Linked DNA regions of Arabidopsis thaliana. The protein of the gene in region 1 interacts with the protein of each later gene in a pairwise test. Each region holds a gene or a part of one and is shown on either strand. Other genes may lie near its edges.

The links. Proteins that work in one complex are often made in the same cells at the same time.
Region 2: the proteins of AT1G51200 (region 1) and AT5G47390 interact in a two-hybrid assay, tested with the Arabidopsis thaliana proteins (one large-scale study listed by BioGRID).

What each region holds. Positions count from the first base shown.
Region 1 is NC_003070.9:18,982,383-18,987,179, reverse strand, and holds AT1G51200 (A20/AN1-like zinc finger family protein), read right to left. Parts: upstream 2,900-4,797; 5' UTR 2,626-2,899; exon of another isoform or gene 2,457-2,625; 5' UTR 2,424-2,456; intron 1,493-2,423; 5' UTR 1,491-1,492; coding exon 969-1,490; 3' UTR 546-968; downstream 1-545. UniProt on the Arabidopsis thaliana protein: May be involved in environmental stress response.
Region 2 is NC_003076.8:19,225,066-19,229,431, reverse strand, and holds AT5G47390 (myb-like transcription factor family protein), read right to left. Parts: upstream 2,664-4,366; 5' UTR 2,432-2,663; coding exon 2,149-2,431; intron 1,988-2,148; coding exon 1,779-1,987; intron 1,492-1,778; coding exon 886-1,491; 3' UTR 537-885; downstream 1-536. Other genes in the region: AT5G47400 (sphingomyelin phosphodiesterase), read right to left, coding at 1-270. UniProt on the Arabidopsis thaliana protein: Transcriptional repressor. Direct regulator of the transcription of peroxidase (Prxs) and reactive oxygen species (ROS)-related genes via the recognition of 5'-ATCACA-3' motif.

The DNA of each region.
Region 1 (4,797 bases):
AAAATATTGTTTGGTATTTTGGTGAAATCAAACAAAACTGAAAGCGGAATAAGTACGTAGAAGATGCGGTGCTGGGGTTTATGAGGAAAACGAACGTACGCTTGATTGTTTGCCAAATCTTGCGGTTGAGATAGTTACATGTGTCTCTAGTGAAATGGTTGCGGTTGAGAAGGAGTTGCGGTGAAGCAAAAGCGCATCAGTTATCACTATCAGTGATGACTCATCAAAAAACCGGTAAAATCAGATAAAACGCCGTTTGTTGTGTAGGCAATGAACCAAACAGTTCCAAACATTTTTATACGATGTCCTCAGGAACTAGTATATAGTATGGTGACGTTTAAAGCAACTCCTACGATGCCGTTTAGAGCAAGTTGATACGATGCTTACGCAACTTGATACGACGTCGGTTTTTCACATAGGACATGTTGTAAAGCAAGTGAGGACGACACCCTTTGGAGCTTTTGTCTCCTTACGATCATCTCCTTCTTCTATGGTTATGGGCGTTCGTACTCAGAACAGGAAAAAGCGAGCTCTTCAGTGTTTATCGACCCATATATACACATATATAGTAAGCTCATGACTTTGCAAAGTTACATAACTCACCAACCAGAGAAATTGAAAGGAATCACTGATTGAAGGACAAACACAGGCCTTTTTAAATAAGCTTCATGTAGCTACAGAGACAATCTCAATATGATACAGACCAAACAGGAAACAATAACACAGTGCTCAAAAATAGTAGAAAGATAAACACACAAAGCATTTTTTTTAAGAGCACGTTTCTCTGCTTGCAAACACAGATAATAGAAAGTTCCACACCACAGAGAGATGGAAGACGCTAAAGATCAAGCACGCTTTCATTCGACCTTATATAAAACCTTTTTAACATGAGAATACTTGAACCAGACACAGACAGGAGAAGGAAACACCAGGCCACCTGATGAAACCAGAGAAGTTTACTTAGATTTTCAGATTTTGTCAAGCTTCTCTGCTTTCACAACCGGGTTTGCCTTAGCTATCGCCTCTTGCGCAGCAGCATGGTAATTGAAGGAGCAGTCATGTACGTCTGCATAGCGGTGTGTTCCGCAGAAGAGGCTCCCACAGCGACATTTGAATCCAGTCAGGCCAACCCGCTTATTGCAAGTAGTACATCGGCTTGGTCCCTTTGGTTTCGCAGCTTCTTCTGGTGCTACTACCTCTGCAACGACTTGGACAGAGGATGGCTGTACAGAAACAGTCATCGGCTCAACGGATTTGGTTTCAATATCGACCAACGCAGCGGTAAAGGTTTCCTTTATGATGTTGCTGGATGACGATGTTCCAGACACTGCAGATGCAAACTTAGCGCCCTGCTCCTGTTGGAACAACATATCCTTGTGACACTTAGAACACATGTTCATTGTGGCAGCGCTTCCAAAGAAACCGCAGTTGTTAGTACATAGCTTGGGACCTTCAGGTGGGCTTTGGCATCCTGTCTTGTCGTGGTCCATTTCTACATTTAAAATCAGCCATCTTCAGTCTCAGTGACATGGAAAAATAAAACAAAAATTCGCAGAAGATTCACGATGATGAGTACATTTAAACCCAATCAGTATCATCAGTTGCCTTAGAAAATCAGTGCAAAACATACACATGAAAATAAGCAGATGAACAATTCTTTTCATGAAATAACTTATCTGGATACCTTACACATGATCTTCATAGTTTATAACCACACTACCTATAAGCACCTTCCTATAATTCAGGATCTTTAACTAAATAGAAAGAAGAGAACAAAAGCAAGCCTAGAGCCATTTCTCTGCTAACTCTAGAACCTGAAACAGACAAACAAATCTTGCTGACCTGTTTTCTAACAATAAGCTACCCAACCAAACAGAAGTGTCTAGGTTACCTAGCACCTAGTACCACATTCATTAGGCAAATTAGAATCATAAATGAATCATTTTAAAAACATTAGAGCAGCTAATCTTATTTCTATCCAACACTACTTAGAAATTAGCCTCTTATATCAGCGTAAAGCTATAAACTTTCAAAGCAATTCATTTCAAGCTTCTAAAACATGCAAAACTCACATACTAATCTAATTTCCATCTAACACTACCTTTCTTAGGTTACAACTTTTCATAGCAATTCATTTCAAAATTCAAAAGCATACAAAACCCACATAGCTAATATCACTCATATCCAACACTACCTCTCTCCACAGAAATGAAAATTTTCAAAACTTAGCCTTTTAAATCAACAAAAACAAGAGTTACAACTTTTCACATCAATTCATTCAAATTTCCAAACACACACAAAACCCACATGCAAATATAACCAAACAATCAAATCATTAAACAATCGAGAACCATAAAAAAGAATTCACATCAACAGCTTACAAATGAACCCTAAATAAAACCAAATCCCAAAAGCTAATTCACCTGTTTGCCCTTGAAGCCTTGATAGATCGGTCCCTAATCAATAAAAAAGAGACAAAAACAGAACACATAAGTTGACCGAACAAAGGCCTCCCACACAAAGGAGGAATCGAATCGAAATGGAAATGAAATTAGAAAACAAAATCGAGACCCAGAAAAGATTATAAAGGTGAAAGCAAAATAGAGAAGAAGAGAAACCCTTTACCCTACGAATCTCTCCGAACAAGATCGTGTCTGCTGGAGAGATCCAGCAGAAGCTGAGAGGTAGAGGAGAGAAAGAAAGAAAAAAGGTCGGCTTTTTAGGCTTTTTTTTGGTTTGTCTCGACGATTTTTTTTGTAGCGACGTTTATATTTTCGTTTCACACCGTTTGTGCTAGAGTCGGCTATGACGTGTACGTATCTTATTGGCTCTGCTTTTGATTTTTTTACTCATTTCAAATTTCAATTCATTTTACTTTTTTGAAAAAAAGAGTTAAGGCTTCCAAATGTTAACTCGCTTTTTTGAAACGGAATTAGACACTACATTTTTCAAGAACAATTAGTTAATTACCAATAGTTTGAAAATGATATTAAGCTTTTTGGTTAATATCTAGAATATAATATATTCTTTTTCCAGTTTTATTATGGTTATTGTTTGACAAGTGTTTGTAAACTTCTTAATTAATAATAATCTTTTATATTTTAAAAATTTATATATTAAGAGGAGATGGGTAACATAGTTGTTGAGGGAAGAATTGGGCTTCCTCCAATTCAGGTTTTAATTGGAATAAACTCAAGGAATGGACAATGTCCAATAATAATTAAGGTAATTGGGTCTATTTTCAACTTAAAATTCGTTTGGAAGAAAACCTAATCGATGAGTTAGCGTCTATAAAAAGCCGAAACCATGTCAATAGGTCGGAAGGTAGATCCACCAATTTACTTTGACATATGTCCTATCTTGGTTCTTATAAATACAAAATAGCAAGTCTTGTCACAAGATCTACACTTTATGTTGACATAGAGAGAGTGCACTATTAGCTCGTCCTCAAACCCATCGAGCTTGTCCAATATTAGTCAGCTCGTTTTATATGTCGTTTGGTCCGCCTCTTGTTCATACTAGTCGTTTCAACAGGACAACCCTTATAATTCGTTCACTTCTCCTAAATTCGGACTCGTTTGATTAAAGAAAGATTCTTCTTACTTTTTTAGGGATTTTTATTTTCTTACTAATGTGTTTTGTGCATCATCCATAATTTCGCATATTAATTTATGTAGTATGACATATAAATTAATGTTAATAGGTGATAGTATATGTTATGAATCTAATTTTGTGCTAGAGAGATACATAGCATACAATATATATGTAACTCATAATATATAATTTCATTCCTTATGTAAACTGAGAATTAAAATCATCCATACATTGCTATTAAATTATATTTTTGTGAGATTTCTACAAATTTGAATAGAATTTTTTTGAGTAATGTAATGAAAAATTACAGATTATGTGATCATTAGTGTTATTGATAATGGATTGTGTATCAACAACCACTTATATAATTTTGGTGATAATTGCCAATTAAACAAGATTCTTTCTCGAAGAAGTATCCGACAAGAAGATCTAGCTATGTTTAGCAAATTTTAATGGATGCAAGATAACTCATAAGCAATTGTATTATATGAATAATAGATAATTCATGAAATGAAGTCAGAGTCTTGAAATAATTTTTCTCCTACCACTAAACAACTTCTTCAAAGACATATTGGAGCCACTCACATCCTACTATGAATATCTATGATCTCATTTTTCTAGATAAGAGGCTATAAATTTGACAGAGATTTAAGCAATTGTTAGACAACAAAATTATTAATAAAAGAATGGTTCTTATTAGTTCAAGTATCTACAATGGAGCATATACAATCTCATGGATCACATCTATGAGAAATATATACGGTTGTATATAGTTATAAACTATATAAAACTACAGTTTCACTTCTCTAGTTTATGTTTATTTTATTTTAAAGTCTTAGCAATCATTTTAGCAAAAAAATTATCTAACTATTTTGAGACGGTAATCATTCCAAAAATCAAGTATTTTTGTTTAAATGTCACAATACAAGAGTCTCTTTGTTCTGAAGAGTTGTATACTAAACAATTGTAAGCTGATCTAACATGCGAGTTTTATAAAGACATGTCTAAGGATAATCAAAGTATGGTTTCCTAATGTAAATAATAAGAGATATTTTTAAATTACCACTAATTATTTCTCCTACGGATGATCAACTCTTTAAAAAATATCAATTATTAACTTTACTTTCTTTCTGAAAGTCAACAACCAAGACTTTTTTTTTTGTGTGCAACTCAACAACAAAGACTATTCTTACATTATACACA
Region 2 (4,366 bases), on another chromosome or scaffold:
TGAGAGTATAGCTGAAGCTAGGTCTTGTGATTGCGAAAGCGAATCGACGGTGTAGGAGTGTGGAAGCATCGCTAAATACGAAGGTGAAAACGAAACAAGGGTTTTTATCGAGAGATAGAGCAAAGGTTTACGCCGGAGAAGAAGGGTTTGAAATGCGAGGCGACTCAAATCGCGCCTTGTGAAGGGGAAAAGAAAAACCAAAGAGGGACAAAAGAGAAGAAAAAAAATCAACACGAGGAAGAAAAAGAAAGCGAACGTGCCACGTGGCATCTGTGTAAATCACCGCGATTAATTTTCCATGACAGTGGACTTTTTAACCAAAGAGTGGAGTGAATCGGTGAACGCGGGAACACTCTCGACACTCATCGCCCTAAATTTAACGCTCCTGATTATGACACGTTATTCACTCTTTTAAGGCCCATTTAGACTAATTGTTTAGCCCATTCGTTTTTTTACTTACGAAACGCTTGGGAACTTGTTTACTTTCTCTTACAACACTGGAGTCCGGTTAAATCCGGTTCGTCTTGGTTTAATTTCCGTTTTCAATCCAGTTATAGTTTTTGGTCAGAGGATAAACAAACTGTGATTTTATTTATTCAAAACTAATAAATTCTAATTTTTAGTACAGATTAAACGAAAATTAACGCATCCTAGAGTCAAAATAAAAGCATACAAATATAAAGAAATGTAAGCAAAAAATAATAATTTGTTTTTCTCCCTTTTTTTTTTCTTTTTTCTTTTCCCTAATGATCAAAGCTGAACTAAAACATCCTACCCAAGTTAAACAACCTAACAAAGAAAAACTTATTTAAGTTACTGTGACCAACAACTAACCTGTAAACCCCAAACCAGATCCCATTTTAGACCATCACTTCCTCAGGTCTTTTATAAAGCGTGTATCACGCTTTTGATGTCTGAACTATCAGAGCTAGGATTCGGGTGAAATGCTGATTGTCTTGAAGATGACCCGCCACCTAGCTTCAATGAAAGAGACTGATCGGATTCTCCATGTTTGTTGGACTCTGCAAGGCTGAGCTTAGACATACCAAGAAGCTCGTCAACATTGATAGGAGCTTTCGAGTGCACAGCAGTTGGTCTGAGAATTTCATGAGTTTCCTCTTTCTTGGGTGGTTCAGGAACATAACCAGCAGGCCATATTGGGAATGGAAACGGGTAATATGGTGAAAAGTAGGTCGGATATAGTATGGGGAATGAGCCAGGTAGTTGCGGCTGCGGTTGCAGTTGTGATTGCAGTTGTGTGGTTTCTTCTAGTCTGGAAGAAGAAGAAGCAGCAGCGGCAGTTGCGGTTGGTTCCCCGGTGGTAGAGTTTGTGGAGTCCATTGATTCACATTCTTCGATTTCCAAGATTGACGGTGCGTGAAGTGAGCTAGGAGCAAGTGTCTGATGAATAGAGTCAGCACCTTGCATTTCAGTTTCCACAGGAATATTATCTTCCTCTGGTTCTTGCAAATCCATGGGAATATCTCCAACCTACAAGGACAAATCACACAGCATAAGCAGAATAAAGAAAGAGAATTACATTTCAAGATCACATTCCCATGAGAAGACCAAAATGCTTAAGCAGGATTGGCTACAAAATGATATCCTCAAGCATATCAATTAGAACCCCAACAGACTTCAACTTTTCATATTGAAATGTAGAAGGCAAACCAATCCACCTAATAAGCTTCTGAATCCTTTAAATCAGTATCTCAACACATTTTGTAACCACTCCAATATAAATAAAAATGGTGTTTTTGAATGAAGAAGGAACAAACCTCATCAGGAACCATATCAAAGAGACTAGAACGTCTTTTGCGACGAGAGACATTGGATTGTCTGATGAAATACTTCTGAGCATGGCTAGCAACTTGTGTAGGTGTCCTAGTGGTCACATAGTTTCTTGAGATACCTCTCCAATCACCTTTACCCAGCTTCTGTAAACCTAATAAGAACATCCTGTGTTCTTCCTCTGTCCATGGAGTTCCTACAACAAAACCAATATCAAACACACATCAAAATCTTGTTACATAAACCAGATCACCACTTGTTACATAATGCAATCAACGACTTTGATGCAAAATAAACTCAATTACAAAAATTTGGAATTTGATAAAAAATTTAATCTCAGAAATCAAACGAAGATACCTTTCTTTCTCTCGCGGCTAGAGGAAGAGCCAGCAACGAAATCCTCAGAAGCGTAACCATCACCAGCGACATGGTCAGGGACATCACCCGGAGAACCCGGAGTGTTGGACCCGGTTCCATGCCCACCCGATCCAGAACCCGTGTAATGGCTAAGATTACCCATACTTGCACTTTTCCGGATCGAACCTTCGGTGAGCCGAACACCAAAGAGCTTCACGCCGCGATTGGGACAAGTCCGAGAGTTGTGGCCATTGTGATTGCAGTGAGAACATCGACGAGTCATACCCGACCCGATTTGCTTCTCTTAATCGGATCTGATCGAAGTCTGAAACGCTCGCGGATCGGATCTTAGTTGATCGCAGAAGAAGCACAGAATCTAATTGTGAGAAAGAGATAGAGAGACAAAGGAGCGGAAGAAAGACAATAATATCAGTTTATCTGGTCGGATTTATTACATAAATTCGATTTATCTGGCCGGATTTTTTTTTTTATTTATTTATTTTTTTTATTTTCAGTTTGTTTTTCTTTTGCTCTTAGTATGTTTATTTATATATATAAAAATCGGAAATTATTTGGTGTATCGTTGGTGGATTTTTTTCCTTTTCCATATTTCATATTTGACTTAATTAGTCAATCCAACGTGTTCTATTATTAGAAGATTTATTTTAGAAAAAATGTTGAATTACTTTGAACTAAGAAGTCCAACTAGCTATTACTATTAATTATTAATGGCCATTTTTGTATAAATTTTTTGGAAAAAGATGTATTACAGGCTAATCTCAATATCCAAAGTTTTAAATTTAGGATTAAAAAAAATAACAGCTTTCTCTGTGATTTCTTTTTAACATTATGACATATATCTTAAATAAGTTACTATATATTAATGCCACCACAAATAGTATAGCTGTAACTAATAACTCTTTCTATATAGACTAGTTAATAGGTTTAATGCATTTGTGATTATCCAATTGTCTTATGCTAAATCATTACAATTTCCTTATATTTTTCTATTTATATAAGGATGGATATCTATACAAAAACTGCAAAAAGAAAAATTAAGTATTTATGTACAAGTGTTAACCCTCCACCAGAAATTAACAATTGGCATGAATATTATTAGCCACAAGATTAATTACACTATTCAACATTTTAAAATATCTTAATAGCCCTTCACGCGTTCCATACAGAAAGCTTGACTAGATTTTAACAGTTATAAACACAAATAAGTAAAATATGACATCTGTTTAATAAGTTATCATAAGAAAAATGGTAAACAAATGCCAACATCCTACACATAGAGAAAATCTAATTTTTGGTCATATAGTAAGGCGACAAAACTATTGTTATTTATTTAATAATCTAAACTGAAAATAAAAGTAGACCCATGACTGAGTAAAATATGTTATCTTAAGAAAGATAAACATGATTGTGATTTCATTTCTTGCTAAGATTACAAATACCATAATATTTGTATTAGACACCCCCTAACTCCAAAAGTCATATCTTATAATACTAAGATATATTTTATTTTGTGGTTAATTGTATTATTATTATAGATTTATAGTTCCATAATCATTTGTATGGATTAGAAGAAGAATAAATTAAAAGGCAATGCAGTTTTTGTTTATGAACAGAAAAAAAAAAATGGACGAACATTTTGGATTTTAGATGATAGAAAGAGAGATAATATGAGTGGATGGGTTTAGTGATATAGATTAGGAGGTCCCACGTTTGAAAATGCCACGTGGACACGAGGAGAGCGGCTTATCCAGAAAGGAACCTTTGGTCAGATCTTCTTATATTATTGTGGGATTCCTTCACAAAGCTTTATCAGCCGTCCACGTGTATTTCTCCCGTCGGTGGCATATTCGCATATTATTTCAGATTTCTTGTCATTATTTCATCTTATTATATAACAACAACAACGTTACTCAAATCTTCTTTCACCTAAATTATAAGTTTCTAGCTATTTTTAGCCACATACATAGTGTTTATACCTTTCTCCAACTTTTTATACCAATTTGATTTCATCTTCATTATAATATCCTTTTGCATGCCGTGGAGGATCCCAGTGTTTGTATTTTTAAAAGTTGAGAGACTTTGACAAAAAAATTGAGAGAAACCCCGGGAAAACGTTTTGACTGTGATTGACCCAAGTAAACGTGGACCTTGGGCCAATTTAAATCTCGAGGCCCAAATGCTGTCTGCTTCCAAGAAA